7 linked regions of the Canis lupus familiaris genome follow. The protein of the gene in region 1 purifies or fractionates together with the protein of each later gene. This does not show direct contact. Links are inferred from orthologs where the notes say so. Each region holds a gene or a part of one and is shown on either strand. Other genes may lie near its edges. The genes, in order: RHOA, C4H1orf198, MAP3K1, PKN3, DAAM1, GLB1 and ARHGEF1.

Region 1 (4,655 bases):
CTTTATTCTATTAGTAGTTGGAAAAATTAACTGGTACAGAAAAAAAGTTTAGTCAGCTGGAGAGAAGAAATTGAGTGCCACCCAAGAGAACTGGTGGCTTCTCTGGTAGGGAACCTGGATACAGTGAGGAAAAAGAGCACTGTGAACTAGAGCCAGACCCTGCAGTCCAGGTGAGAGGTTATGCCACCTTTTGAAGTGTCTGAGTGTCTCAGGCATGAAACCAAATTCTTATTTATTTAGCCCAGCTCTGGGGAAGGGTACTGGGATATGTGGCGTTGAAAACAGGAGAAACAGGCCATCTTTTATCAGAGAAACTGACAAAACGGGAATTTTAAAAATGAATTTTCCATCTGACTTTATTTTCAAATACACTTTCTTTTTTAAAAAAACCAATACACTTTCTGCAGGGATGACAAATATCAGTATTAGGAAATCCAATTATACAAAAAATACTACATCTAGTCTGGGGTAGATAGATTTATTTTTTGGTAACATACATTAAGTGGCACTAATTACACAGTAACTATAAGGTAACTAACATGAAACCACAGAACTGTAACTCTGCCACAGCTGCATGGACTTGAGCCTTTCTGGATAAGCACATTTTCAAAAAACTGGATGACCATCACAGAGCTATGCCAATACAATCTGTTAAGGAGTAAAGCTCTGAAGTAGGGACTCACCAGAGTACCTTGCAGCTGACAGATGACAGGCAGGACATGTTAGTTATAAAGTAGTTACAGCCTAATTCACAAAAGTTACCAACTGTTTCTCTTTCTAGAAAGAAGCAAGAAGTTAAGAAATTCCTTGAATTAGCGCCTGGTGTGTCAGGTGGGAGTGCAGAGGAGGGCTGTTAGAGCGGTGTCAGGAGGACCTCGGTGGTCAGGTGGGTTGGACATCATTAATAATCATGGTTGGCTTCTAAATACTGGTAGCAAGATGACTTTTGATTTGTAATCTTAGGTAAATTATAGATAAATGAAAAAGGCCAGTAATCATACACTAAGATTAATAAACAGCACTTCAAAATTAACCGCATGAGGGCTGTGCTTGCAGCAGGGTTTCACAAGACAAGGCACCCAGATTTTTTCTTCCCACGTCTGGCTTGCAGAGCAGCTCTCGTGGCCATTTCAAAAACCTCCCTCACTCCATCTTTGGTCTTTGCTGAACACTCCATGTACCCAAAAGCACCAATCCTGTTTGCCATATCTCTGCCTTCTTCCGGTTTCACCGGCTCCTAGCAAAGAGAAAAGCACTTTCAGTTAAGTGTCACATATATGAAGTGTAAAGTACTCAAAATTCAGCTTAAAAAACTTCTTTTAAAAGCTGCCAGACCCAGATGAGTCTTATGAAACTCATATGCAGTTTACCCTCCCTACCCCAATATAAAATCCCTATCAAACAGGCTCTTCTCTGAGAAGTAGACAGAAGGGAGAGGCCAGAGAAGCCCTGCCGGGTTAAGGAGGAAATCAAGAGCAAATGATTCAAGCTGTCAATCCAGAGTAAGCACTTGGGTCTTCCAATTGTTGGCTTCAGAGAGGACTGAATGCCTATGGAAGGAAATAAATCCTGACCTTGACATTTAAACAGAGAAACTTCAGTGGAAGAACCTGGGCTGAATATCTTAATTAAGGCTCTTGTCCTGCACTGGGGAAGCCCTCATCATCACTTATAAAGGCATCAGGGCTCTCTCTAGACTCCTTGTCCTCAAGCTTTCCTGATCCTTTGGTTGCTACCAATTTAATCCTTGGCCTCACATTATAGCAGGGTAACAACTGGAGAGGGAAATCCAGAGCCTGATAAAGTTTGGGCATTTGGAGCACTGACTACTGCTGTCTCAGCCAGGCAATCCTTGGAGGCATAGTGCTATCTCACAGGAGAGGTTCCCATCTCAGATAAGTAGGGAATCTTAAGGACGCTCTGAACAGGCATCAGGGAATGAGGGACAAATGGAGAAAGAGAGGCTTCTGGGACTCTTTAAATAACCTGGCTTGGGCAGCCCGGGTGGCTCAGCGGTTTAGCGCCGTCTTCAGCCCAGGGCATGATCCTGGAGACCCAGGATTGAGTCCTACATCAGGCTCCCTGCATGGAGCCTGCTTCTCCCTCTGCCTGTGTCTCTACCTCTCTCGGTCTCTGTCTCTCTCATGAATAAATAAAATATTAAAAAATAAATAAATAACCTGGCTTGTGAGAGTTTCTGCTGGGCCCCCTCAACATCCAATTTTGGGCCCTGAGTCTAAGAATGCTACAGGAAAACAGAACCCTGCCCCAGACCATGCCTGCTTCATCTTGGCTAGCTCCCGCCTTGTGTGCTCATCATTCCGAAGATCCTTCTTGTTCCCAACCAGGATGATGGGCACGTTGGGACAGAAGTGCTTGACTTCTGGGGTCCATTTTTCTGGGATGTTTTCTGAAAGAAGCAAAATTTGTTGTTACATACAATTCTGATCTTGAAGAATGTCCAAGAGCCCTAGTTAAACTGCAAGGTAACTACTTTAAAGTATGCTGGACATTTGATAGAATATCACTAGTTTCAAAACGACAGAAAAAAGGCAAAATCTAACCCCCTGCCATTAAGCACAAAATCACCAGCTTCTCCTCAGTCCCCACTAAGGAGCTCAGCTCCTGTGAAGTGGGGCCCAGTTAAAGCTGTGGAGGAACAAAGGATCCAGAATACAAGGTGGCTCCACATGATGCAACCTGACCCAAGGAGGGAAGGTATTCATGGACAATTTCCATCACTGCTGGCTAGTAACTATGAGCATATCTTACAGAAAGGGTCTCCATTCTAGGGCTGCAGCTGGCCCAGGGTCCCCATGTTCTCTCTACACCTTGCTTATGGACCTTTAACATGACCTCCATCGTGTAGGTTACCGGTATTTCAAACAGCTCGACTGACTTCTAAAAAATGAGTGATAAACACTTCTTGCCAATATGGTACTAATTTAGAAAGGTTGGATGTACATCAATCATGTTGTGTAAGTAGCCAGGTTCAACCTCCCACAACCACGGCTTGGGCATCTCAGTGTCAGGCATGATTTTACAAAATGAGGTTAACAGTATTACCTACCTTACACAGGGCTATTTTGAATCAATGCATACAAAGTACTTAATATGACAATCATTTATTTAAAAAATTTTTTTTTAAATTTATTTATGATAGTCACACACAGAGAGAGAGAGGCAGAGACACAGGCAGAGGGAGAAGCAGGCTCCATGCACCTGGAGCCCGACGTGGGATTCGATCCTGGGTCTCTAGGATCGCGCCCTGGGCCAAAGGCAGGCGCTAAACCGCTGCGCCACCCAGGTATCCCTATGACAATCATTTAAATGGTCTTCTTGTTGGGACACCTGGGTGGCTCAGCGGTTGAACGCTGGGTGTGATCCTGGGGTCCCGGGATCCAGTCCCACATTAGGCTCCCTGCAAGGAGCCTGCTTCTCTCTCTGCCTGTGTCTCTGCCTCTTTCTCGTTGTCTCTCATGAATGAATTAAAAAAAAAAAAAAGTCTGCTTGTAATTTGAGGCTGTAGTTTAGAAGTAAACTGTTTATTCTCTGACTTCAAGACAAAAAAAACAAAAGGCAAGAACTGCTTAGAATATGGAAAGAGGGATCCCTGGGCAGGGATCTGCTACAACACTGAGATTCCTTCTTCTTCCTGTCTTGGTGACTTTGCATCTGCTGTTCTCCCTACCTGGAAAGGTTTTTTTGTTGGGTATCTGTTTTGGCCTCTCTCAGTTCCTTTAGGTCTCTCCCAAAAGTCACCTTTTCAGCAAGGTTGCTGACCATCCTATATGGTCATCCTCTGAAACAGAATACTACCATGGCCCATCCCATAACCACTTCTGAGAATGTTATCTGTAAAATTTCTTGCTATCAGGTCTACTGTTATGTTTCTTGGACTTACTGTTGTATTTGCTCTTCTGTCTCAATCTAGAAGTTTCTTCCATAAATAGGCGCTCAATAATTATTTGAATATATGAAATTATTACTCCCAATAGTCCCCCATCCCTTGGGAGTGTAGGACACAAAAATTAAAATGAATTGCCTCTGTGTTGCCTCCTCCTTTCATGAATAATTTTTTTTTAAAGATTTTATTTGTTTATGATAGACATAGAGAGAGAGAGGCAGAGGGAGAAGCAGGCTCCATGCTGGGAGCCCGACGTGGGACTTGATTCCGAGACTCCAGGATTGTGCCCTGGGCCAAAGGCAGGCGCCAAACCGCTGAGCCACCCAGGGATCCCCTCCATTTTTTTTTTTTTTTTTTTAAAGTAGGCTTCATGCCCAGTGTGAGCAAGAGTATCATGCTTTACTGACTGAGCCAGCCAGTTGCCCCAAAACTTTATTCTTAAATTCAGTGATGTCAATCACCTATAATCTCTCCTACCCCTAAAATAATCTGATCACATTGGGGCATAGCACCTTGCATGGATTTACTGTGGGGTTGTATGATGGCCTTTGGGAATTCCAGAAAACCAGGAGAAGGAATCCTTATCATCTAGATCAGGGGTCAACAAATAAAATCTTGTCAGCACCTGGGTAGCTTGGTTGGTTAAGCATCTGACTTCAGCTCAGATCATGATTTCAGGGTCCTGGGATAGAGCCTTGAGTCAGGCTCCCTGCTCAGTGAGAAGTCTGTTTGTCCCTCTCCCCCTCCT
Region 2 (4,692 bases), on another chromosome or scaffold:
TTGGAGGACCTGGGACATCAGGAGCCAGATCAAGTGGAAAGGGATAGGGTGCCCTACTCAATCTGGTTTAGGGCCCTTTTGGACAAACCTGAGTCACCTATCTGGGCCTCTTTGTCCAGCAGCGTAGCCGGGTAGACCAGTCCTCCCCTTATCCATCGCCTCCTGTGTCCAGGAGCCAGCCATCCTCCATGAACAGCGCTGGGCATGACACAACCAACTATGCTGGTGTCAACCTCTTGCCAGGTTTGGGGAAATGCGTTTTAAACTCCCTAGTGCTGGGGCACCTGGGTGGCTCAGTGGTTGAGCATCTGCCTTTGGCTCAGGTGGAGATCCCGAGGTCCTGGGATCGAGTCCTGCATCAGGCTATCCGCAGATAGCCTGCTTTTCCCCCTGCCTATGTCTCTGCTTCTCTCTGTGTGTCTCTCATGAATAAATAAAATCTTTAAAAAACAAAACAAAAAAACCCTCCCTAGCGCCATTAATGCACACGGCCACTGTAAGCAAAAACAGACCCCAGGCAACGTTCCTAAGTACCTCTCCTGAAATTCAGCCGCCCCGTAGCTGTCCACCATCTCTGCTCAAGTTGGTCAGAGGCATTCCAGGGCACCCTCTCGGGCGTTTTGTAAAACTGAGTTGGAGTCCAAAAAACAGGAGGGTTGGCTCCTGGAAGGGCATGCCGTTACCACAGTGAGGAGTTCCATTTGCTTTTAAATCACACTGGGTTTACAAATTCAGAAACAGCTCAGTCTGGCACCCAGTTACGGAATTTGAGTACAAAATTCACTTGGCCACATCTTTCCTTATCAGTGATACTGAGCCCTTATATGGCAAGAGCTTTTTGATGCTGAGCAGGCATGTGGATATTCTTAGCTGGACACAAGCTAAGGAAAAATGACAGTCACTCTCCAACATCTGTAAGTACTTACAGGTTTACTTCCTCTCCTATTTATTTACTCATGACTTTTCCAAAGAGGGGCCGCTTGCTTTTTCATCCCCAAATCTGAGCACAAACACTGCAAATGTCTTTATACAGATATGGATTTTTCACACTGAAAATGTTTGGGCTCTTAAATACATTCTGAACCTATATTTTCATCCCTCCGGCTTACCACACCCTTGTTTTTCCTGGCAAAGCCTTCAGAGTTTCAAGTCCAATGGAGTGGAGACTTTTCTTTGAGTTCTGTCAGAATAAGGCAATGCTGGCAGCATACTTCTCTCCTTCACACACCCATTATATTTAAGTGGGTTTACGACCACAAACATTTTGTATTGATAAATGTCTCAACACACCCAAGCCTGAAAATTAGCTTTAAAATTCAGAATTAACTAGAATCCCTTTCACAATCCACAACGCCCTGGGGAAACATCGCCAAGCTCCAGCTCCCCTCCTGCAGGCTCCCAGCCTTCAGAGTGTGGGTTTCATGGGTCTACTTCATTTTTATACTTCTTGCTCCTTTCCAGGTTGCCCTTCATGGTAAAAGTTTAGCGTGAAAGGCCAGATTCTAATGGCACCAAATGGGTTTTAGGGAAACAAAAAAACAGAAAGAAAAAGATCAAGTTTCTGAGCAGCAGTGAACACTCAGTCCTTTGTGACTTAGAAGAGGGCATCCCAGAGTTTTTTCTTGTATAGCTCTAGCTTTTCTCTCCTCTAGAAGTGTGGGCTCGGCGTCTAGACCAGAGACCCAGGGATGTCCTTATATGTGGCAAAGGCTTGGTGGCGCCCATTTAAGCTCACCCCTTCGTGTTTTGATAGAACAACAGGTCTCCATGCTCACCTCCACACCAGGTGAGCACATCACATCGTGCTCACCTGGAAAACCTCTTACGTTTGGCCTCCTAACCCGGGAAGGCACCTCTCCCTTCTCTTTACCTTGCTTGACAACTTCACTCGCCCCATACAACTCATCACAAATACTATGATTAACATATGTAATTTCCTGACTGCCTTCCCTGACAGGCAGGGGGCCAGTTTACACCAGGACGGGGGAGGGGCGGGGAGAGAAGCTGAGGTTAAGTCACGGTGGAGCGTCTGCCTTGGGCTCGGGGCGTGACCCCCGGGGTCCGGGATCGAGTCCCGCATCAGCTCCCCGCGGGGAGCCTGCTTCTCCCTCTGCCTGTGTCTGCCTCTCTCTCTCTCTCTCTCATGAATAAATAAACAAAATCTTTAAGAAAAAAAAAGTCACCGATGGCCATAGAGCTAAGGAGCAGAGTGGATTGGAACTCCGGCTTGGCTGGCTTAAAATCCCTTGCAGTTCCCGGGGCCCGCCTCGCCTTCGGCTGCGGGGGAACTGCCTGGCCCGGCGCGGCCCCGCGGAGCGCTGTGGGGCCGGCTCTTGACAGACCTCCGCGCCGCGACTCTCCCCTCCGTCCGGGGAGCCCCCCCCCGCGCCCCGCGCCGGCGGCCCCGGGACGCACCTCCCCCGCCAGCCACTTCCATCCCGCGCCTTCCCCTCCGCAGCCCCCACCCCGCGGGCGGCGGCGGCGGCGGCGGCGGCGGCGGCGGCGGCGGCGGCGCTCGGGCGGGGGCACCGGCCGGGCCGCTGGGGGCGCGGGGAGCCCAGAGCCCCCGGCCGCGCCCGCACCCACCTCGTCCCCGAAGCGCACCACCTTCTGGCCCGTGGGCCCGCGCAGGCCGGGGAAGCGCGCCAGCTCCTCGGAGTCCCCCGGGTCCCCGGGGCCGCGCGGCGCGGGGGCGCCCGGCCCCACCAGGCACCGGTCGATGATCTCGTCTTGCTGCGCGGGCGGCAGCCGCGCCCACTCGGGCCCGTACTTCTCGCGGATCTTCTCCTTGTCCTGCATGATCTTCCTGGCCATGGGGCTCAGCGACGAGAAGTAGGTGAAGCGCTTCCGCTCCCGGTCGTCCAGAGGCCGGTTCCCGCTCATGACCGCCGAGCGCGAGGCCGCGATAGCCGCCGCCATCGACGCCATGCCCGGCCGCCCGCCGCTCCCCCCGCGCCCCTCCCCGCGCCGCGCCCCTCCCCGCGCCGCCCCCGCAGCCCGGAGCCCCGCCCCCGCCCCCGCCCCGCCCCCGGGGCGCGGCGCCCTCCCGCCCCCAGCCCCGCCCCCGCGCCCGCTAGTCCCGGGAACCCCGCGCCCCACGGCCCCGGGGCTCGCCCTTCGCGCCGGCACCCCCGGGAGCCCCGCGGCCCTCACCCCGGGTACCGCGCCCTCCTGGAGCCCCTCCCCCGGAGCCCCGCCCCTCCCGGGCCCGCCCCTCCTGGAGCCCCTCCCCCGGAGCCCCGTCCCCGGGCCCGCCCCCTCCCGGAGCCCCGCCCCTCCTGGAGCCCCGTCCCCGGGCCCGCCCCCTCCCGGAGCCCCGCCCCCGGAACCCCTCCCGGGAGCCCCGCCCCTCCCGGAGCCCCGCCCCCAGGCCCGCCCCGCCCCTCCCGGGGCCCCGCCCCCTCCCGGGCCTGCCCCCCCCGGAGACTCGCCGCCACGCCCCTCTCTCGCGTGCTCGGCGCCCTGGGGCTTTCCCGCCCCGCCCGGTCTCCAGGGCTCCCCTCGGGCGGCCCGGGGGGCGGCCGCGCCCCGGGTCGGCTCCCGGCGGTCTGACGGGGTCGCTGCTGGGGACCGTAGAGCCACGTGGTCCCTTGTGGGACAAAGGAAACTTTGGTCGGTGCGGTTCGCCTAGGACAGCCGGTTCCGGGCCCGGGCCGCCCGCCGCCCGCCGCCGCCGCGCTCCCTGATGGCCCGTCTCCTCCGCCTTCGTGGAGCGCAGCCGGGCCGGGCCGGGGCGGGGCGGGGCGGGGCCGGGGCGCGCCGAGCGACAGACGAGGGCTGGGCACCGGGCAGCCGGGGCCGGGGGACGAGCTGGGCCAGCGCCGGCCGCGTCCGAGGAGGATTCGTTCCCGCTCCTCCCGGGGAGACGGAGGAATGAGATGAAGTCGCGGGGCCGCGGGGCGGGCTGGGGCACACCGGGGCGGGCTCCCCAAGCCGCCGCGTGGTCTTGCGCTTCCTCCCAGACCAACAAAGTGACAGGATTTGCTTTGGAATCTCAAAAATCACAAGAACTCTCAGCAGCTCGTTATTTGCAAACAAACTCAAGGGGGGCTGAAAGTTCTGGTAGGCAGAGAAACCACACCCCAACAATAGTGGGGCCAGGTTCGTCACCTTGAGCTGTGTCCCAGACCACAAAAGTGGGGACAAAGCCCTTCATTTGCTTTCCTATCAGGCTGTTTTGAACAACACTGTAACAGGTCTCAGATGAGAATGTCCACTCTTAGAACAAAACGTTTGCATTTCAGCTTTTACTTAGGGTCTTTGCCTCTAAAGTAACAGACAATTCGGAACACAGTCCTAGAAATAACTTGTTTTACGTGTGAGATAGCCTTTCATATTCTGGCCCAGAAATCCTAAGAAAATATTTTGGGGATGCCATGAATGTGGCAAGATCTACAAGAAAAGATACTGCTCTCGATAATGTTATCAGCATAATATATTGAAGCAGTGGGAAAAGCCACCAGATAATAGCCTGGGTTGCATAGTATGAAGGACAATTTATGAAGCCACCAGGTTGAGAAGAGTTTGATATTATTATTCTCTATTTAAATCGATGCTTATGTATATGCTCGGTACACTAACCTGAATGCACAGTACCTTACCTGTCTTGTTTACTGCTGGGAACGAGAATGCCTTTCAAAGTAAGTGCTCAGTGACTCTTTGTAGATTGAATCGTGAATAAATAAATGAATG
Region 3 (3,528 bases), on another chromosome or scaffold:
AGGCCAGCAGATTATCAGCGTGGTTCCCCACAAAAGTTTTGCTCTCGTTGAGCATCCTGTCTCCATTATAGTTTATTTGTATAATTGGCTACCATGTAGTACGGAAGACCGGATGCTTCAGTAGCTCTCTTGACGGGGGTCTGTCCTGAGGTTGAAGTTCTAAACACCGAAGAGCCACATCTCGTAAACCAGGAGACAAATGTGAGGGGATTGATGGAGCAGTCGTCGCACTTGCAATCTGTAAGAAAAACCACCAGTGTGTTTAAACTTTCCACAATAGGAGCTTCTGATCTAGAAGTACACGTGCATCCTGTACATAGAAGAACTGAAGCTGAAATTGGTGGACTTGCTTCTGACAGGGAGTCTCTGGAAAAACTCACCCACTGGATGGGAGGCTTCCTCTAAGAATCTTCAAATTTTAGGATTTCAGAATTTAATCAAACACTTCCTGAGCAGATGGATCTATGGTTTTCCTTGTCTCAAATGAACATGACTAAGTACATCAAAATGATTAGACAGGTAAAGTATTCACTTCATACTATATGCTCTCCTCATACTCTGCAGTATGATGGTTTGTCATCCTTGCTTCATCATACATGTTCTGTCATTCAGCACAGAGAGCTATTCAAAGCTACTGAGACCACACCTGGCCAGTCCGCTTAGTACATCAGAAACTCAACTGCACTGAATGGGGAAGGTATGGAAGTGTGGGAAGGACTGGGGGAGGTGCTGGGAGGTACTGAGGTACTGGTGCACTGGATTTCGAGTTACTCAGGCCCAGAGATTTTATTCCCATATTAATCCCATGAAGTAGATGCTGTAATTATACATGTTTTATAACCAAGAAAACAGAGGGCAGACGGAGTCATTTCCCGAGTCACATGGCTTTTTAAAGTTTAAAGGCTGGAACCACGGTTTGAAATCAGGTCTGTATCATTCCAGAGCCTGAGCTTTTAACTGGCACATGTCTGGATCAGAAGCTAAAAATCTAAACTACTATACTCTTCTCCACTGGAAATGGACAGAATGGATTTGAGAGTTGTCAGAAAGGTAGGACAGACGGGATTTGGTACCTGACTCGTGTAAATTTTTTAAATACAGAAAATAGTAAATCAGATTTTAAAGATTTGTGGATTGTGTCCATAAAGAGCTCTACATTTTTACATTTGAAAGTTGGATATACTTAGTACATATTTCACCTAAGAACAATGATTCATTATTCGCTAACTCATTGTTCGAAGTGACTTTATAGAGCCTAACTACTTGAAAAATGAGGACTGACTGTACATGCCACCAACATTCATCACACCGTATGAATTCCAAGAGATACATATATGCATATTTATTTCAAGGAGGATACATGCTTTGACATTAGATTGAGAGTTAAGGGGAACCCATGAAAATCTGCCTCCTGCCAATTACAGCAGAAAAAGTAATTTTTATATTATAGTTACCTTAAATATCAAAGCAAGATGATTGGAGTGTTTTTCTGCATTCCAAGGTGGTTTAGCACAAGCCATTTCTATAATAGCACAGCCAACACTCCATACATCACAGCTCCTACCATACTGCTGACCTCTCAGTACCTAAAATAGTTAATTTAGAAATATGACTCATTAACAAAAGAGAAAAATATTCTGTAGTTATGTATTCTAGGTTTTTATTTCAGACCAAAACAATGGTACAGACAGCAACTCCATGGACTACCTTGATGTCTCATTTATTTCATTAACAAGCTTAATCTCCTACGTGGCACAAAAGTACTTTGGAGAATTGTGAGATTCTGAAAAGGAGTCAGATCACAGAATATCCAAGCAGCCCCTGTGTACTTAAGTCACTGTGGGGCCAGAGGACAACCAATTATCACTACGTATAAACATGAAGAGTGTGGAACACAACTGAAGAAGCCTGATTCAGAACAGCAATACTACGTGAAATTTCTTCACTACTGTGAAGACTAGCTTCTGTGTGCTCATCTCCCTTTGGAATAGAGAGAGAGCAATTGTTAAGATTTTTAATTATGTGTACTTTGGGCATACTATAAAACAAGTAGTACAACTACCCCAAAATTCTCTGTTGGCAACGGTCTTATAAGCAAGTCTACTAAAGCCTGCTCTTTTAAAATTTTGTCAAGACAAAGATGGAACGTCAGGGATTAAGAGTCTGAAATCAAGGATATCATTAAAACCTTATTTTAGAGCCATAATCTTCTCATTGGTAAGCGCATACGGAACAACACTGCAACCTAAGTTGCTATAATTCTGTCACATGGAACGCCAGCTACTTTGCCATCACATTCACAGCTGCTTCTTACCTCAGGTGCCATAAATGCAATTGTTCCCAATAACTGTCCCTGAAACTCTCCTGCACCAGTTCCTTTTGATGCCAACCTGGCTGCAGCTCCAAAATCTGCAATTCTCAGTCTCTGACCTGTGCTGTCAATTAGCAAATTGGCACCTGTCAACAAAAAGAGCAAATGACCTTGTATGTTAAAAAGCAAAAGAATAGATTCAAAACTCAGTAAAATACTACTAATGAAATAGGACAGTAACAAAGGAAGTGGGCATGGAAGGGTTCAGAGAAATCTCCCCTCTTGATTCACTTCATTCTTCCTAAAAAGGCACACAGGTATCAACAATGTAAAAATAAAATCCAAATCTTCAGAGGGAAAGATCAAAGTAACAAGGCAAAAGGAGATCAAGGCAGACATTTAATGAAATGTTACTAAGTGTTGAAAACCTTTAATGTTCCCAACAAAAATCTTCCCTCAAAGTTAAAATTTTAGTGGTTTCCATTTTAAGACAGTTCTATTGAAACATACTCACCTAGACCAATTCAAAATAGTATAATTCCTTAATTATAACTCATAAAAGTTAATGTTATAAAATTATTTGAATACTAGTCACACATACATGTCAGAAAACCAGTTATTCTTAATAAGATAAACTGCAAAAGATCTTAAAGGATTTTTCTCAAAAGAAGCTCATGATACCCCAATTATTCTAAATAAAACTAGAAACAGGAACGGTTGGGGAGGCAGTAGTAGATCATGAGACCAAGAAATCAGAAACCTGATTTTTATACTGGTTTGCCATCAATTAGCAGTGAGACTGGAAAAATCAGTCTCTCTGAGGAAGGCAGATTTCATGACTCCAAGGTTCCTTTCACTTCTAATAATTCTAGTATTTTGAGTTACTCAGGAAAAACAATCCGATAGAGTTGATCTTAAGTTAGAAACTGCCAATAAAGGTCCAAGTTGTAAAACTCTCATTTGTTTTCTATTTATTGTTAGTAGGTAGTAATTAAAAGAATTCCTACCTTTGACATCTCTATGAATGATCTGGTTTTCATGGAGATAGGAAAGGCCACGAAGTAACTGTTCAGTATAGTTAATAACTACTGATTCCTTGAAGGCCCCGTATTTACTGAGCAAATGAGCCACAGATCCCCCTAGAAGACAAACATATAATACTAATTATCATAAACTTAAGCCAAAATTAAAACCGCTTATTACAATTTGGTTACATA
Region 4 (4,637 bases), on another chromosome or scaffold:
GACCCAGAAAGCTCCACTGTGGTTGAGTGGCGGAGCCTGAGATGTTTGGTTTATTCATCCATGGTTTGTAATTTGGGAGGGTTTGGGGGAGGCTTTACTTTCTTTCAGTTGCAGACGTTCTTATAGTAGTGACTCTAGACAGGGACAAGACTCCGTGAGGGTGACGGGTTTGGGATTAACCCACTTGTCACCAAGGATCTAAGACGAGGAGAAGGCTGCGGGCGGGAACCAGGTGGTGGCACGGCTCGGAGGAAGGGGCTGAGCCGGCCCCACGGGCAGTGTCCGGCGGCCGGCAGGCGGCGCTGTCGCCCCCGACCCCTCTGGGCAGCTGGCGAACCCCGGCCCGGGAGGTGTCCCTCCCCGCACTTCTATCCCGGGCCGGGGACTGCGGCCTCAGGACGGACGCGGGGCCCCGGAGCCAGCGGGGCGTCGGCTGGAGCCCTGGGGTCCCGGGCGCAGACCCTGGCGGCCGACAGGCGGCGCTCATCTCGGGGCCCGCGAGCGCCAGCCGGCCTCGGGAGGGGGCGCCCGATCCCGCGGCTCGGGCTCCGCTTCCCGGGAAGTTTCAAGTTTGAAAGTCCTGGCGGAGGGGCCGGGGCTTCCGGAACCGCAGTGGGCGAGAGGAGGGGCCGAGCGGCCGGAGCGGCGCCATGGAGGAGGGGGCGCCGCGGCAGGTGGACGGCGCCCGCGGAGGCCGGGCTGCGGGCGCGGGCCCAGGGCGCCGGGGAGCCTCGTGCACGCCGCGGGCACCCCGAGCCCCGGCCGCGACCCCCAGGTCCGACCCGCATCCCCTCCCGGGTCCCTTCTCAGTCCCGGCCCCGGGCTTCGCTGCACCTCGCAGGGCAGACCTGAGCACGGGGGTGAGTCGTTCATGTCCCCTGAAAACGCCCCCAGATCACCCCCTAGGGACTCAGAGCCTCTGGTCAGGCCAGCAGTCAGGGCCACCAGCATGGGCGCCAAAGTTGCCTAAAATCAGCTCTTCCCGGTAGGACTGGAAGGCCGATGGGAATCGACCTAGAAAGCAAAGGGGGGCGCTGGGGCGCACTGGGGCCGGTCCTGCGTGGAGAGGAATCCGAGTGTGCAGGGAGAAGAGAGCCCAGGAGGGCACCAGTCCCTGGGCTCTTGGGGGGGTGGTCCTACCCGGATCACGAAGGCATGTGGGGTTTGGCCGGGCCGGAGGGCCTTGCCCAGCACCTGGGTGGGAACCTTCGGGTACACAGGGTTCTAGTCCAAATGGCAGGGAGGCTGGGATCCTGCCAGTGCTGGCAGTAGGTGCTGGTGGACACAGCAGCCAAAGCCGTGTGTTTGTTATTGGGGAGGGAGGGGTGGAGGTCTACTCAGAGCGAATGGGGTGGGGTCCCAGCTGTAGAGCAGCAAGGGAGAGGTGTGTATGTCCGCCCAGAGCAGACAGGAGGTGGGGGTATGCTCAAGGGTGGAGTGTCCTCCACAAGGCTCGAGTGCCCCCACCCCAAGGGCCTAGACAGCCCTAAGCACTGCATCTGCCCCCTCCCACTCCCTTCTTCCGGAGGTCCCTCCGCCTGTTCCAGCAGCAGCTTGTGCACATTTTCCGATTTCCTGTGAACCTCCGCCCAGCAGCGCAGCTGGGTGACTCAGGACCCCGGTGGCCAGGCCCCCTGCTCCATGGGATCTTTGTTTGCTCAGGCCTTTGGCTCTGGCCCTCTGGCCTAGGGCCCTCAAAGGATTTCCTGAGCCCCGCCCCTGCCCTCTGACTACCAGGCCAGCAGAGGCCTGGAGTAGGGGGGGGCCCTGAGACTGGGGTGACAACCTTTAACACTGGGCTCAGGAGATGGAGAGCCGAGAGGTAAGGTGGAAGTCCCGCAGGAGCCCTTGGGGTCGGGGGCATTGTGGGTTACTCTGGACAGAGGTCAGCTTTGGCACTGGTTGGTTTGAAATGTTAGCTTCTGAGAAAGAGATTTTTCTGTTTCTTGCTCCCACCTGGGGTGAAATAGTGAGAAAGCCTCTGCTTCCTCCCAGTAGCTGAGCTGGGAATGGCCCCGGGAGACCTCCTCAGCCCCTCTCCGTGTCTCTGCTTGGCTACCTGAGGGAACATCCCTGGCCCCTACTCAGGCCTCTGGCTGCCCTCTCTGTGTGACCTTGGGGGGTTCCCTAGCCTCTTTTCTGGCCTCAAATTTGGCCCCAAATCTCAGAATCGCAGTCTTGGAGAGAGCATCCTGATTAAGCGTGACTGGCAAGGGGGAAGGAAGGTGGCATCCCCTCTTCGGTGTTGTGACTTTGGGCACGTTGCTTAACCTCTCTGTGTCTCAGCTTCCCCATTTGTAAAATGGGGATCATAACTATACCAACCTCATGGGATTGTCGTGAGGATCCACAGACCAGTGTCTGCAAAGTTCTGAGACAGACCCTGAACAACCCAGGGGTCTGGGGCACTGACACACCCCACCTGCCATGAGTTGCAAATCTGCGTATGACTTTTGACTCCCCCAGACCTTAACTACCAGTAGCCTACCGGTGACCAAAAGCCTTACCGATAACATCAACAGTGGACTAACACATACTCTGTACGTTATGTGTATTCTATACTGTGTTCTTACAATAAAAGAAGCTAGAAAAAAGGGAAATGTTATTAAGAACATCATAAGGAAGAGAAAATACATTTACAGCCCTGTACTGTATGATCAAAAACAATTTGCTTATAAGGTGGACCTGTGCAGTTCAAACCCATGTTGTTCAAGAGTTGCCTGTAAATGTTGACAATTTCTCCCTCTCCCTCCTCCCTAGTGGCAGAGGACAGGAGCGTGGGCAGGATGCCTAGTCTTGGGGTTTGCATCTGGCCTGGGGATACTAGCTGGAAAGTCAGAGATGCCTCCCAAGCCCCGGGTGTCCACCCTGGCTGCTGGGCGTGCCTCCCTCTCCTTCCATCTGTGGGCACCTGAGGCCGCTGGTGGCTGGGGACGGGACCATTATTGCTCTGCCCTTCCACAGCCTGGGGCCAACCAGCGGCCCCCGGAGGATGAGAAAGAGGCGATCCGCCGTGCCATCCAGAAGGAGCTGAAAATCAAGGAGGGTGTAGAGAACCTGCGGAGGGTAGCCACAGACCGCCGCCACCTGGGCCATGTGCAGCAGCTCCTGCGCTCCTCCAATCGCCGCCTGGAGCAGCTTCACGGAGAGCTGAGGGCGCTGCATGCACGCATCCTGCTGCCCGGCCCTGGGCCTGGCCAGGCTGGTGAGTGTGGAGTCTGAGCGGACCCTCGGGCCCTCGGGGACAGGAGGTGCTGGGGAGGTCTACCCAGCCAGCTTCTCAACCTTGGTCCTGACCAATCTCATAGCCTTCTCAGGTGTCCCCCTGCCCAGGAGGGGAGGGGAGGAGACAGCAAGGCCATAGAGTAGGGGGCTCCTGGCTCTGGGTAAGGGCTTCATGTACCCCACACTGCACAGAACCTGTGGCCCCGGGACCCCAGCCACCTGCAGAGCAGCCCAGGGCTCGGCACCTGGAGGCTCTCCAGAGACAGCTGCAGGTGGAACTGAAGGTGAAGCAGGGGGCAGAGAATATGACGCATACATATGCCAACGGCACGCCCAAGGTAAGGCTCCCGGGGTCTGTGGGGAGAGATGTGGCTCTCGGATTAGTAGGGGAGGTGCTGCCCCAGCCCCTGTAGGGAATGCAACCTAGCCAACGACCTATTAAGGGAGACATTGTCTCAACTATTAGTCTGATAGAGGAGCCATAGCCCCAAATCTTAGCTTGGTGGGGAAGGCATGGCTTGGACCCCTAATTTAACAGAGAAGGCACAACTCAGTCTAATGGGGAAACCCCAGGCCCTGTTCTGGGTCTAATAGGGAAGGTCCACTCCCAGCCCCAACTCCCAGCATGATGTGGGGAGCTTGGCTCTGACATGATTGGAGAAGTTTGACCCCAGCCCTGTCTCATCTGATGGAGGAGGCTCTGCCCCAGACCTAGGCTGATGAGGGAGGCTTGGCTTCAGCCTTGGTCTGACCAGGGAGGCCCTGGGCTGGCCTGGGTGCGACGAGGGCATACCTCATGACCCCACAGGAGAGGAAGCTCCTGGCAGCTGCCCAGCAGATGCTGCGGGACAGCCAGCTGAAGGTGGCTCTACTGCGAATGAAGATCAGCAGCCTGGAAGCCAGTGGGTCCCCTGAACCAGGTGAGGCTTTGAGAAGCTGGGAGGGGCCGGCCGGCCGGGCCGGGCCGGGCAGAGCAGGGCATGGGCCTCAGAGCTGACTGCCTCCTCCCAGGTCCCGAGCTGCTGGCAGAGGAGCTAAGACATCGGCTGCATATTGAGGCTGCTGTGGCCGAGGGTGCCAAGAACGTGGTGAAGCTACTGGGTGGCCAGCGGACTCAAGACCGGAAGGCCCTGGCCGAGGTCAGACCGTGACGCCCTCTCACCACTGCCCCTCTCTGCGCCCTCCGCACTGCGGGATGGCTGTGCCGGGTGGGAACAGGGAGCCCACTGTGTCTAGACCTCGTGGCGGCCAGGGCGTGTGTGTGTCTCCAGGTGGTCCGAGCTGCTGTCCCCAGCCCCAACCTGTGTGTCACGGGCCTGTGCCCCCTCCCCTTATCTGCCCTGCAGGCCCAGGCCCAGCTCCAGGAGTCCTCCCAGAAACTGGACCTGCTGCGACTGGCCTTGGAGCAGCTG
Region 5 (3,938 bases), on another chromosome or scaffold:
ACCACAGAGAGAAACCTTAAGTTATGTTCCCCCTTCAGGAAAACACCTGTTGGAAGGGGTGAATGACAAAGTGGCAAGGGAGCATGCCCACCTGAAAGCGGGTTCTTTCGCTAGCATACTTCTGGTAGTGCAGCATGGCCTGCAGAACCTTCTTGTGGCCCCCGGGAACCAGGCACACGGCGCCCAAGATTTCCAGCACGGCCACCTTTGTTTTAATGTTCTCTGTGCTCAGACTCTGAGCAATCACATTAATACTCTCAGAGTGAGCCAGGACATGAGCCCGACCTTGAGAGTTGTTCATTAGTGCCTTTATACATCCAATGAGAGAGGTATGTATTCGAGACTCTGAGGTCTCGTAGTCCATGGTCTTTAGAAAGTTGAGAATACATGACAGGCCATCCAAGTCGATGAATCTGGTTACAAACCTGGCAGGAGAAGAACATTAAAATGTATCAGACTTAGGTCCCTTTGGAATTTTCTAATAGCCCTTGGAAAAGTTTTGCAATGGCAGGAGAAAGGAAGAGGTATGTAGTTCTTGTAGTACCAAAGAGCTACATTGATGAAGTCTTCTTAATTCCTGACCTCTTCCTCAGCACAAACCCAATGGTCAGGTCTACCAGAAATGTGAAATAATCTCTATTTGAAATAAACAGATCTCAACTGATACAAAGAACCAATGAACAATTATACAGCCACAGTAAATCAGGAACCAGAACACACTCAGAATATGTGTCTTAAGTTAAAGTCATCTGCTGATTCAGGGGCACCTGGGTAGCTCAGTCACTTAAGCATCTGCCTTCAGTTCAGGTCATCATCTCTGGGTCCTGGTATCCAACTCTATGTCAGGCTCTCTGCTCAGTGGGGAGTCTGCTTCTCCTTCTCCCTCTGCCTCTCCCAACGACTTCCCTCCTGCTCATGCTCTCTCTCAAAAAATAAAATCTTTAAATTAAAAAAAAAAAAAAAGGTTATCTGCTGATCCTGTGTCATTTTAACACCAGCCTCTAATCACCTTTACATTAACTGTTGACCCATATCAATGCAAGTCAAAGAGCATCCTTAAGCTCCAGGATATTTGTCTGTCAAACAAATGATAATCTATATTGCTAACATTTTGTAGCAAAACTCTTCTTTTGTATGATATGCTACTGGAATCCCTATATATAAAACAAATAAAGGGTGCCTGGCTGGATTAGTCCATAGAGAACATGACTCTTGATTTTAAGCCTCATGATGGGCCTGAAGTGTACTTAAAAAACTAAATAATAAACTGCTAAAACAAAACAAAAGCAAGCCTTTGTTACTGCACGTTAATTGATATCTAGGACACTTTATTTACTGTGAAGCTGACCAATGAGAATAATTCACAATGCACAAATATACGTGAAGCTCTGAAAATTTCAGAAGTAACAGAACTTGTTTATATGACTATTCCAGAAATTTCCAAACCTACTTAGTCTTAGATACCTATCAACATCTGAGAATGCAAAACAACACAAATAGGGAAATACTGATGTAGTTAGGATTGGCTACAAAACCTGTCATACAACTGCATAGAAATTTTGATAAATCAATAGATTTTTCTTAGTTAGCATCTTATAGTCAAATAAAGAAAAGGAAATCTTTATTTTCCAGCCATTTCATGTAGTCACAGGACCCAGATATAGCCCCACTGGTGGAAACAGTTGGCTTCATTCATAGCTCCTATGTTAATGAAATATACGTATAAGCACCCCAACATCCCACCAAACCTTGAAGACTAATCAATGGGAAATGAAGGTATAGGAGACACATGGTGGAGGCTGACTGCACCCCCCCCTTTTTTAGGAACAGTTTTATTGAGATATAATTCACATGCCATGAAATTCATACTTTCAAATGTACATTTCAGTGATATCCACAGAGCTGGGCAACCACGGACAGCATCTGATTTCAGAACACTCTAAAACATCCCAAAAGACTATTTCCCTCCTCTCCCCAACCATAAGCAACCACTAATCTTTCTGTCTGTACAGAGTGGCCTTCTCTGGATATTTCATATAAATGGAATCATGCCATATGTTGTCTTTCTTTAAACATTAAAATCTGGCTTCTTTCACTTTGCATAAGTATTTTTCAGGCTCTTCCATGTTGCAGCATTTATCAACAGTCTATTCCTTTTTAGGGCTGAATAATAATTCATTGTATGGATATATCACATTCTGTTGATCCCTTCATCAGCTGACAGAATTTGGGTTGTTTCTACTTTTCAGCCATTATGGACACTGTTAACATGAACATTCCTGTTACCTTGGCTATATACCAATGAGTAGAATTGTCAGGTGATATGCCAACATTATGTTCAACATTCTAAGGAAACTGTCCAACTGTTTCCTGAAGTGGCTGCACCACTTTACATTATTTCCAGCAATGTATGAGGGTTGCAATTTCTCTACATCAGCACCAAAACTTTCTAGTCTGTTTTTTTTTTTAATTTTAGCCATCTTAACAGCTGTGTGCATATCTTTTAATTGAAGAAAATCAATTTATTGAATGTTCAATGATTAAAAGTATTCCATCCATGGTTCAGTTGAATGCTTTTAATCTAAGAATTCCTATTGCAGAAAAAAAGAAGAAAGTAGGGTAAGAGAGAAGGGAGAAAGAAAGGACAGAAGAAGAAGGAAAAAAAGACAAGTAGTATGTTACCCAAGAAAGAATTACCTCATTGGTTTTGTCCTTAGTGCTGTCTTCAAACTCTCTATAGTTTTACTTCTCTCTTCTTCCTCTTCCTTCTCTAAAGCCAGGAGAGATTTTCTCTACGCAAAGAAAACTGAAGTTACCTCTTCAAATTCTATGATTCAATTAGGGTATAAGCAAGACAAGTCCACAGATTACATGCTATTATTACTTTTAATATATATAAAAAAAACAATAAATCTATGACTAGGATTACTATAAAACCAAAATACAGAGCAAAAGTACTAAGAATTCCAGATTTGTAATCTCTACTAAAAGTTCTTTCAAATTTTAGATAAAGTTTTAAGAAATGTTTAGAAATTTTCAGTAGAGATTAACTTGTCCAACTATAGTTCTGGTGAAAATATTACTATCTATATTTGATAGAAAGAGGATTGGCTCTGCAGTTAAATACAGTATTCTGGCAACTAAAGCTAATAACATTAACAACACTATCAAATCCAGGCGGTTTGTGTCATCCTCAAGCCGAAAAGTAGAATCTTTTACACTTTTTGTTCCATCAATTACTTAAGAGGAACAATCAAATCGGACATGATACGAAGAAGGACAATTCCTTCAGAGTAAACACTTTTAGAAATGATTCAACATCATTTGGAAATTAGGCTACAGAGTGTGTGTGAGGGAGGGAGTGGGGTGCTTACACCCTCCCCACCCAGGGATCTGTTGAGCAGCACTTCCCAAACTTTAATATGGACACGAATAAGCTGGGGATCTTGTTAAAATAAGAGTTCTGATTTGGTAGGTCCTGAGTAAAGCCCAAGATGCTGCATTTCTAGTTTCCATGCAGCCCTGATGCTGCAGGTCTATAGACCTCAATTTGAAGAACAAGGCTCTAAGGAAGTAGATCTCAGTTGACAGTACAGTCCTGGATGCTAGTAAAGTTTATATTTGTGAAAAGATCTTTCCCATTCCTTTGAGCCCAAGATCACCTAGTTGGATTAAAAGGATCCTTAAGTCTTAATGGCCTCAGGTGCCTCCACCCATGGAACCACTGGTCTCTTGCCTTCATCTTATTCTGAATGTGTGCTTTTCTAATTTCAGCCTTCTTACCTGTTAACAATTCTGATAAAAATGCATGGCTGGGAAACAGACTAGGGCATTGAAGGGGAAAAAGAAAGTTTGGCTCTTATCTATGTGTCTCAATGATCCAATCTCTCACTTCCTTTCAGGGCCACAAGTCATCAAAGGGTGATTTTATCTAATTT
Region 6 (3,938 bases), on another chromosome or scaffold:
CTTATACTCCTTGGGAGTATATAGTACAGCCTATGGATGCTTTGCTCCACTGGCATATACTTCCTGAGGGTCCCAGTGAGCTCCTTGTTACGAAATCCAGTAGAAGAGCTTCTGTCTTTCTCACATTCATCCCCTCAGCAGTACAAATGTCGGTTTTCCTTCTCACTCTCTGCCCACCATGTTTGTACCCCTTTTCTTTTTTTTCTGTATCCTTTCTCTTCAGAGGATCTCCTCCAACCCATGTCTTCAGTGACCATCCATACACAGATGATCTTATACATATATTCCCAGCTCAGATCCATCCTCTGGCTTCTCCCTCCACAGATATCACAGCCCTCTTCCAATATCTTCTCTCAGCTATTCTCAAAGGCCTCTCAAACTCAATCTATCCAAATCCAACTCACAATCTCCCCCCTCCTAGCACATGTCTTTTTCTGACATTTCTTCTTTCAATAAATGGTACCATCTTCTCAGCCACCAAGCTGGAATGTAAGAGTCATCCAGGATATGTCCTTCTCTTTAAATCCTGATATCCAATCCATCATTACAACTCACTGATTTAACTTCACACATCTCTTAGATAGTTGATATTATCTCCATCTTGTCTACCACCATCCTAGTCTCACACTGAGACTATGGTCCAGCTGCCTAGATAGCTTCCCAAAATCCACAGGTACTCTCACCCAACCCTATTCTGCACCCTGGTATCAGAGAAGCTTGTCCCATCACAATCACATCATGGCACTCTCCCGCTTCAAAGGCTCTCAACACAAAGACAAAACTTTAATGTAGTTTAATTGGCCTAGTCCAATCTCATCTCTACCAACTTTCTAGTCTCTTCTCTGAACCACACTCCACACCTAAACCCTATGTTTGGGTCCTTTACCAGTTCCTCATGCTCCTCATTCCCCCTCTAACCACATGGCCTTTGCACATGCTATCTTCTTTGCTTGGAACATGTTTCCCTTCCCCTTTTGCCATGTTAATTCCTTTTTTTTTTGTTAATTCTTTCTTATCCTTCATATCTTTGTCAAGCATGACTCTCACAGGGAAGGCTTCCCTGATCTCCCTGACAAGGTCAAATGCCCCAATTATTATCAACTCCTGTATTTCTTCTTAGCACGTATTGCAGCTGCAGTCTTGTCATTTAATTTGGGTGATTGTATGATATGGGTCTGTCTCCCCAACTAGTGTGTAAGTTCCATGAGGGCAAGTCCCATAGCTGGTTTGGTTCATCGTTGTATCCTTAGCACCCAGCACAAAGCTTGGGTACATAGTGGCCACTGAAAAATACTTGTTGAATGAATAACTGAGTCATGGTAAGGTCACCCTGGATGAAAATAGGACTGAAGTGAAGAAGACAACGGTGAAGGAAGACATGTGAACACCTTCAAAGAATAAAGGGAGGGAGGTGACCAGGCTGTAAAATGGCCAAGGAAGAGCTGAAGATCATGGAGACAGTGGTGGATGCCCCCAGGGTGCAGGGCTGTATGAAGGTGGGGTGTTGTGGAGTGTAGGGGGAGGCATGGACAAAAGAAAAATAAGTTCTCCCAGTGATTCATCCCTTTGCTTGGACCAAATTTTCTTCAAGATAAAGAGAAAGTGTCCCTCATAATCAGTGTCCAAAGGAGCTATGGTTTTTCTTAAAGGAAGGAGGAAAGTCATCATTTTCTCAAGGAAGTTGTCAGTCAGTGAAAATGGGGCAGATGCTATACATTCAAGCTGGCCATTGCATTCCTGAAGATCTGCCATGGTTCCACTACTGAGGAATGGGTAAACTAACACAGAAAGCCCCCACTCCCAAACTGTTACACAACATCTCATTAGCAGTTCTTTTTTATTCTTTATCAGAAGCTAAAAGCAGATGTTTGAGGCCTGAATTAAAACACTTTCCATGAAGACACGTACCTTGGTCCATCCAGGAAACTGGATAAAGGTGTCCTGGGGCAAGTCTGGGATCCCACTGGGAATAGAGAAGTTCCCCATATAAAAGGCCGGGAGCGTGTAGTTAGACGAGCGGTGGGCAAAGGTTTTATCATGGCGGCCATTGTTAGGGCCATGCCAGCCTCCCAGGTGGCTGCGTACTGCATCCTCAGTGTTCAACGGGAAGATCATCCAGTTTGTGAGGATACTGGACCCAAGGGTCAGGTTAGAAATAAGGCCCTGTAAAGGAGAAACTGAGCAATGAGCTAGGGTGGGAAGTAAAAGGCTTCAAGTGTCTTTGTGTCCCTACGCTGAATTCTTGAGAAGAGCAAACCAGGACATGAAACACCAAGAGTAAATGAGACTCAAATTGTGTGTGTACAATTTGAGTCTCATTTTTGAGCCTGAGGCCAGAGCTTTTGACCCCATGCCCCCAATCTTCAGTGTTCGGTTCAGAGTCATTGCTGGATGGAAGGAATGAGTGGATTCAGGAATACAGAAGAACATTTAGCCACTGTAGGAAGGGCTGGGGGGACAGACTCTGCCCCTTCATATAACCAGGAGCATGGCCATTCCATTGGAGTGTGATTGCCCTGCCTCTGAGTGGCACCAAGAGGGTCAGGAAATAACCCCACACATGGGTTTTGTCCTAGAGAGGGGGGTACCATCAATCTTTCCATGTGGGGGCCTTCTCTCCTCTAGGTGGTGAGCTACATGGGAGAAGCCTGTACCTCAACATCTTTCCATGCCTCAAAGTGCCTTGCAGAGCATCTTGCAGAGTATGACCTTACCAAACATTTGCTGAATAATGCTCTAAAAATGTTTTCCTCAGGCAAACATTTGGGCTGGGGCTAGACACCTGGACACAGGGTAACCAGAAGGGGTAAGAGAGACCGTGTACCAAGCGAAAAGCCTATTATTCAAGACTTCGTCCTGGATTGTCCACATCCAGAAAACAGAGCCAATCAAATACTAAGCTGGCTTTGTCAGCAACAGGGTACCTTTTGAAAGCTAGGTGGGTCTTTAAAGCAAGGGAGAAGCAGGGTGCAGTAGCTTCCTCCTTCTGTTTCTTTCTACAGGGTGACTGAACCTGAACACAAGAGAAGGGTTCTCTTTGCAAAGCACAACTTTCTCATCACCTGCAGAGGAAAACAGGTCTTCAAAATAGCCCAACTTTGAAGTTGCAAAACAAATCACAGTAGGTTTACCCGCCAAACTTGGCAAAGTGTGCATGCTTTTAAAAATCGCTTCTATGTGAACAGGGCTGGAGGAGAAGAATGTATATATGAGAGTTTTTAAATGGGTTTGCAGAAACTTCCTTAGGTGGCACAGGCACGGCCCCATCAACCTTTGAACCTCACTCCTGACAGTGGGGCTGGTCCTACCTTAAAATCATTGATATATCTGCCATAGTTCACACGTCCCATGTTCTCCACCAGCAGGTCCAGAGTGGCTCCAGCCTTCCCGGTTATGTTCAGAGTGATGACATTACTTCGCTCCATGACTCCCTGGGGCACCTGTGGGGTTAGAGACCAGTGGGAATTAACTGGTGTGAGAAATGCAGCAGAACCCAGCTCCCTCAGCTGTCACACTCATTTTGCTGTCTTGAAGTGTCACTGGACTCCAGAGGCAATGCTCTGAAAGCCCCTTTGCCCAAATCACCAGCCAGGTGATCAAGTTCCTCTAAACACTGCTTCCTAAGCAGGCGACTCACCAGCTACGGCTCAGAACAAGGGAAGATCTAGGCTGGCTTCCTCTGCTTTGGGATGTTTTGCTGCACATCCATTTTTAATAGGAAAGGAATGGAGAAAATTCAAGGAAGGGATTCGATTCCTATCACAGGACCTGCTTTGTATTCTTACAGCACAAAAGGCAGTCATAAAAGGTGGCTTCTAAGCAACGTGGAGAAATGAGACAAAATCAGATAGATGAGATAAAATCAGAGAGTTAGGTGGAGTAGTCTCACCTCAAAATACCTGATAATGGTGCATTAACCATGTAAATTGTATAATAGA
Region 7 (3,938 bases), on another chromosome or scaffold:
AGGCCTGTTGCCACATCTGGCAGAGGACACGGCAGGAAGCGCCATCCCTGGGCTACGTGCCAGGCCAGTGCTCTGGGCTATGCACCAGTTGTAGGGTGTTCTTGGGTTCTTCTTCGGATGAGCTCCTTGTCCACTGAGCACCCCACTCCAGCCCGCGCAGCGGCCTCTTCCTTCCTAAGTCACCTGCTGGGCTCCCTAGACTCTGCAGGTGCTTCCGGACAGCACGGTCCTGCACCCGCCGTGGCCCAGGTAATTTCTGCCTGCTATCTGTGGGTCATGAGTTATGTTCGCTCTGCCTTGTGGGCTGCTTGCAGGCGTTTCTTGTTTCTGGGCCAGGGCCTGCCGTGCTACCTAGACCTGGGAAGGCTAGTGGCTTCCTCCCACGCACTGGCTCTGAATTAATGACTGGTGGCGGCTGCTGAGGCCACAGAGGAGATTCCACTTCCGGGACCAGTGGGAGAAGGCGCTGTCATTGACAGGTGACCCAGTCACAGGCAGGGAAGGGGGGTGGGGGGCATGTTCTCTGCCAGCTTCTGGATTCTCTGTTGCTCTCTGCCTGACCCTGCCGTGTGGACTCTCCCGTCTGCACTCCCTGCTCACTGAGATGTACGCGGGGAACCTGCAATCTTGTCAGAGGCCACATGGCTAGCATTCTGGCTCTCCATTTCTAGATCTTGCGCTGTGTGTTCTGGATCTGATTCTGGACCCTCCCTTGTCTTCAATTGTCTATGTCGCTGAGTACTGTGGCCTGACCTGACCCAACCCAACCCCTCCCTCTGCCCACCCAGCCCTGCCCTCACCAGAGGTCCTGGTTCAAACTGCAGGGCGACGTGCTGCAAGAGGGCCATGAGGTGGGCAGGCCGCCGCTTCACCTGCTCCAGGCTCTGGAACTGGCTGTTTTGCTCCTCTGTGTTCTGAGGGTGGAGATGGGGATGAGAGAGTGGGGAGCAGAGGACGGACATGGGGGTCGACCCTTCCCCTTTCTGGCAGAGGTGTCTATGCGGTCATGGTGGTGGCCAGGGCTGGTGTTAGGGAAGGTGGATGAGATTTAATGTGGTAATGGTGGGTGATGAGGACAGGCATTAGGAGACAGAGGAGGGATCTGTGCTGTAATTAAGGAGGGTGGTGATAAAAACCGAGGTTAGAGTACCCAAGGGTGGGAGTCTGTGTCATAATGGGGCATCGAGGATGAAGTAGTAGGGGATGAGGATGGTGGTATCCAGATAACAGAAAGAGGAATGGGGAAGTAAGAGGAGGCAGGAGGCAGCATCCAACATGGACCTAAGGAGGGAGGGGACACTGAGGGTGGGACTTGAGGGCTGGGACGAGGGAGACTGGGACAGAAGCTTTTCCACCCCATCTCCCCCTCACCGTCTCCAGCTCATTCTCAAAATCCTCGTCCTCAGCCCCAATGATGCTGACTGGCACCAGGCCAGGCCGCGGTGGTCCTGGTGCCTGTGGAAGAGGTGAGATGGCTTCAGCTCGGGGTGCAAACCCACCTCGCAGCCCCCCAGTCCCCTCCCCCTCCCAGGCTCTCTCCACTCACCAGCCCTCGGGCAACGTTGTCTGCTTCCATGGGCTCCACAGGGCTGGGGAAGAGGAGGGGCGATGGTTAGGGGGGGCAGGAGGCTGCGGCACAGGGAGGTTACTCACAGATTCCTGGCCCAGGTGTGAAGGTGAGTAAACAGCCTCCCCGCCAATCCCAGCCTCTGCAGCTCAATGGGGCCTCTGTGTGGCGACAAAGAGCCCTTCAGAGGCCAGTCAGGGCGGGGGAGCCCAAGGACAGGGAGCCCTGGGGGGGGGGGAGGCCCAGGAGCCTGGGTCCATAAGAGAGCTCTGGCCAGGAGAGCCTATAATTTGAGGTCCCTAATAGAGGAAGGACTGGGGGCCTGGACCCCTGGTTCTGAGGAAGGCGGAGGGAGGGGTCCTGGACTGGGGGTCTGAAGAAGGAGGGGGCTGGGGCCTAGACCCCTGGGTCTGAGGGAGGAGGGGGCTGAGGGCCTGGATCCCTGGGTCTAAGGGAGGAGGGGGCTGGGGGGCCTGGACCCCTGGGTCTGAGGGAGGAGGGGGCTGAGGGCCTGGATCCCTGGGTCTAAGGGAAGAGGGGGCTGGGGGGCCTGGACCCCTGGGTCTGAGGGAGGAGGGGGCTGAGGGCCTAGACCCCTGGGTCTGAGGGAGGAGGGGGCTGGGGGGCCTGGACCCCTGGGTCTGAGGGAGGAGGGGGCTGGGGGCCTGGATCCCTGGGTCTGAGGGAGGAGGGGGCTGGGGGGCCTGGACCCCTGGGTCTGAGGGAGGAGGGGGCTGGGGGCCTGGATCCCTGGGTCTGAGGGAGGAGGGGGCTGGGGGGCCTGGACCCCTGGGTCTGAGGGAGGAGGGGGCTGGGGGCCTGGATCCCTGGGTCTGAGGGAGGAGGGGCTGGGGCCTGAACTCCTGGGTCTGAGGGAGGAGGGCACTGTAGGATTGATCCTAGGGAGGCAGGGCCTGGAGGCTAATAGAGATGGGAAGGTTAAAGGAAAGGTAGAAAGGAGATAAGTGGGGTGTGGGGGGGCTCTCCTTAACCTGACAGGCCTGGGGCCGGATGTTGCCTCTGAACCCACCAGCCCCACTTCCTGTGACAGGAAATCTAATGGCAAATCCCCCAACCCCCAACCTTCTCCACATAAGAAAACAAAAATCTGAACCTCCTTTCCCCAGACCCTAAGTTACCTCGGGGACCTGGTATCTTCCCCACCTTCCAATCCCAGAAAGCAAGGGACAGTCCTCAGCTAGCTCAGCCCCAGGTGTGTCTGCCCCCCTCACCCTGTATCCATCTGTCCCGCCAGCTCTCTGGCTGGCCGTCCCTTGAATATGCTTCAGGTCTTTGCCTCTCTTCTCCGTCTCCCCCCTCTCCCTCCCTTCAGACCAGTCTCACTTTCCCACCATCTCTGCTTCCCCTCCCCCTTAGCCACCTCGCCCTAACCCTGCTTCTGTAAGTATCTTTCCCCTCAGCCGGTGTCTCTGCCTGTCTTCTTCCCACATCTGGTTCTGCGGCCACCTCTCTGAGTCCTTGTGAGTCACTGTGTCACGTGCTGTCTCTCATCTCTCTCGCTCTCCCATCTCTTGCTGGTTTTCCCATTTTGTCTCCCTTAGAGTCTCTGCTTCCCCCTGCATCTTCCCACCACCATCTTCTGTATCCTTAATTAGTCTGACTAATGCCACTCGAGCCCGTGTCAGGCGGGAAGGAGCTGTGGAGTTGGGGTGGGGTGGACGAGTGGGGTGGGGGAGCTCCCCCACAGTCCAAAGCTATTTATAACCCTGGTCACTGGAGACTCACCCTCCTGCCTCCTCCAGAGGCCTCCTCCCTAACACTCAATAAATGGTGGCTACAATTTTGATTACGATCATGAAACAATGATGCTTTCTGGAGTGTCCAAGTGTCATCCCACGGGTTCCCCAGAGCACACCACATTTTTATTCTCTTCCATACAGTGTATCTGTCCAACTTTGAGTGTGGGTAATTTAAGATTTGAGCACTGTTAAATCTTCACGTGAATAAACTTGCAAACCAACACACAAAAAAAAAATAGCAAAGTGATTATTTATTATAAAAGCTAAACTTAACTAGCACATTGTGCTAGGCATTGCCCCCAGTGCTTCTCACATATGAACTCACTTAAAGCTCACAACCAGAAGCACCCATGCAATTAGTATTCTCGTAATCCCTTTCGAGGTGGAAAACCTTTACCAGGCTACCAGCTGCAACTTCTTGGCTGGAAAACATGACCACACACATGGAAGGACCATGCTCAACCCATAGGGGGTGGGGGTTGGGTGGGCAGGAAGGTTCAAAAGAGGCAGGGAGATTCCACAAAGGGCAAAGGAGAGGACACACGTTATGTGCGCAAATGCTCAGTGCCACACGGGTCCCACGTCATGCACTTGACACAGATTATCTCCTT

Evidence for each region.
Region 2: the proteins of RHOA (region 1) and C4H1orf198 purify together in Homo sapiens (co-immunoprecipitation; 3 studies listed by BioGRID and IntAct, with this or other methods). This does not show direct contact. The link is inferred for Canis lupus familiaris from reciprocal best matches to the Homo sapiens genes RHOA and C1orf198.
Region 3: the proteins of RHOA (region 1) and MAP3K1 purify together in Homo sapiens (affinity purification with western blotting; 4 studies listed by BioGRID). This does not show direct contact. The link is inferred for Canis lupus familiaris from reciprocal best matches to the Homo sapiens genes RHOA and MAP3K1.
Region 4: the proteins of RHOA (region 1) and PKN3 purify together in Homo sapiens (affinity purification with mass spectrometry; 3 studies listed by BioGRID and IntAct, counting the BioPlex papers as one, with this or other methods). This does not show direct contact. The link is inferred for Canis lupus familiaris from reciprocal best matches to the Homo sapiens genes RHOA and PKN3.
Region 5: the proteins of RHOA (region 1) and DAAM1 purify together in Homo sapiens (co-immunoprecipitation; 6 studies listed by BioGRID and IntAct, counting the BioPlex papers as one, with this or other methods). This does not show direct contact. The link is inferred for Canis lupus familiaris from reciprocal best matches to the Homo sapiens genes RHOA and DAAM1.
Region 6: the proteins of RHOA (region 1) and GLB1 purify together in Homo sapiens (co-immunoprecipitation; 3 studies listed by BioGRID and IntAct, counting the BioPlex papers as one, with this or other methods). This does not show direct contact. The link is inferred for Canis lupus familiaris from reciprocal best matches to the Homo sapiens genes RHOA and GLB1.
Region 7: the proteins of RHOA (region 1) and ARHGEF1 purify together in Homo sapiens (affinity purification with mass spectrometry; 3 studies listed by BioGRID and IntAct, counting the BioPlex papers as one, with this or other methods). This does not show direct contact. The link is inferred for Canis lupus familiaris from reciprocal best matches to the Homo sapiens genes RHOA and ARHGEF1.

The regions. Positions count from the first base shown.
Region 1 is NC_049241.1:40,290,473-40,295,127, reverse strand, and holds the end of RHOA (transforming protein RhoA), read right to left. Parts: intron 2,411-4,655; coding exon 2,280-2,410; intron 1,238-2,279; coding exon 1,064-1,237; 3' UTR 861-1,063; downstream 1-860. UniProt on the Homo sapiens protein: Small GTPase which cycles between an active GTP-bound and an inactive GDP-bound state.
Region 2 is NC_049225.1:8,910,530-8,915,221, reverse strand, and holds the start of C4H1orf198 (uncharacterized protein C1orf198 homolog), read right to left. Parts: upstream 2,960-4,692; 5' UTR 2,929-2,959; coding exon 2,587-2,928; intron 1-2,586.
Region 3 is NC_049223.1:43,173,118-43,176,645, reverse strand, and holds part of MAP3K1 (mitogen-activated protein kinase kinase kinase 1), read right to left. Parts: intron 3,451-3,528; coding exon 3,319-3,450; intron 2,458-3,318; coding exon 2,315-2,457; intron 1,587-2,314; coding exon 1,455-1,586; intron 1,051-1,454; exon of another isoform or gene 943-1,050; intron 698-942; exon of another isoform or gene 613-697; intron 239-612; coding exon 89-238; 3' UTR 1-88. UniProt on the Homo sapiens protein: Component of a protein kinase signal transduction cascade. Activates the ERK and JNK kinase pathways by phosphorylation of MAP2K1 and MAP2K4. May phosphorylate the MAPK8/JNK1 kinase.
Region 4 is NC_049230.1:54,975,194-54,979,830, reverse strand, and holds the start of PKN3 (serine/threonine-protein kinase N3), read left to right. Parts: upstream 1-1,464; 5' UTR 1,465-1,807; coding exon 1,808-1,822; intron 1,823-2,964; coding exon 2,965-3,205; intron 3,206-3,417; coding exon 3,418-3,563; intron 3,564-4,033; coding exon 4,034-4,145; intron 4,146-4,236; coding exon 4,237-4,364; intron 4,365-4,571; coding exon 4,572-4,637.
Region 5 is NC_049229.1:34,879,359-34,883,296, reverse strand, and holds part of DAAM1 (disheveled-associated activator of morphogenesis 1), read right to left. Parts: intron 2,793-3,938; coding exon 2,698-2,792; intron 426-2,697; coding exon 92-425; intron 1-91. UniProt on the Homo sapiens protein: Binds to disheveled (Dvl) and Rho, and mediates Wnt-induced Dvl-Rho complex formation. May play a role as a scaffolding protein to recruit Rho-GDP and Rho-GEF, thereby enhancing Rho-GTP formation. Can direct nucleation and elongation of new actin filaments.
Region 6 is NC_049244.1:3,989,970-3,993,907, reverse strand, and holds part of GLB1 (beta-galactosidase precursor), read right to left. Parts: intron 3,441-3,938; coding exon 3,309-3,440; intron 3,122-3,308; exon of another isoform or gene 3,003-3,121; intron 2,164-3,002; coding exon 1,909-2,163; intron 1-1,908.
Region 7 is NC_049222.1:113,143,451-113,147,388, forward strand, and holds part of ARHGEF1 (rho guanine nucleotide exchange factor 1), read right to left. Parts: intron 1,729-3,938; exon of another isoform or gene 1,590-1,728; 5' UTR 1,577-1,589; coding exon 1,547-1,576; intron 1,456-1,546; coding exon 1,372-1,455; intron 915-1,371; coding exon 801-914; intron 1-800. UniProt on the Homo sapiens protein: Seems to play a role in the regulation of RhoA GTPase by guanine nucleotide-binding alpha-12 (GNA12) and alpha-13 (GNA13) subunits. Acts as a GTPase-activating protein (GAP) for GNA12 and GNA13, and as guanine nucleotide exchange factor (GEF) for RhoA GTPase.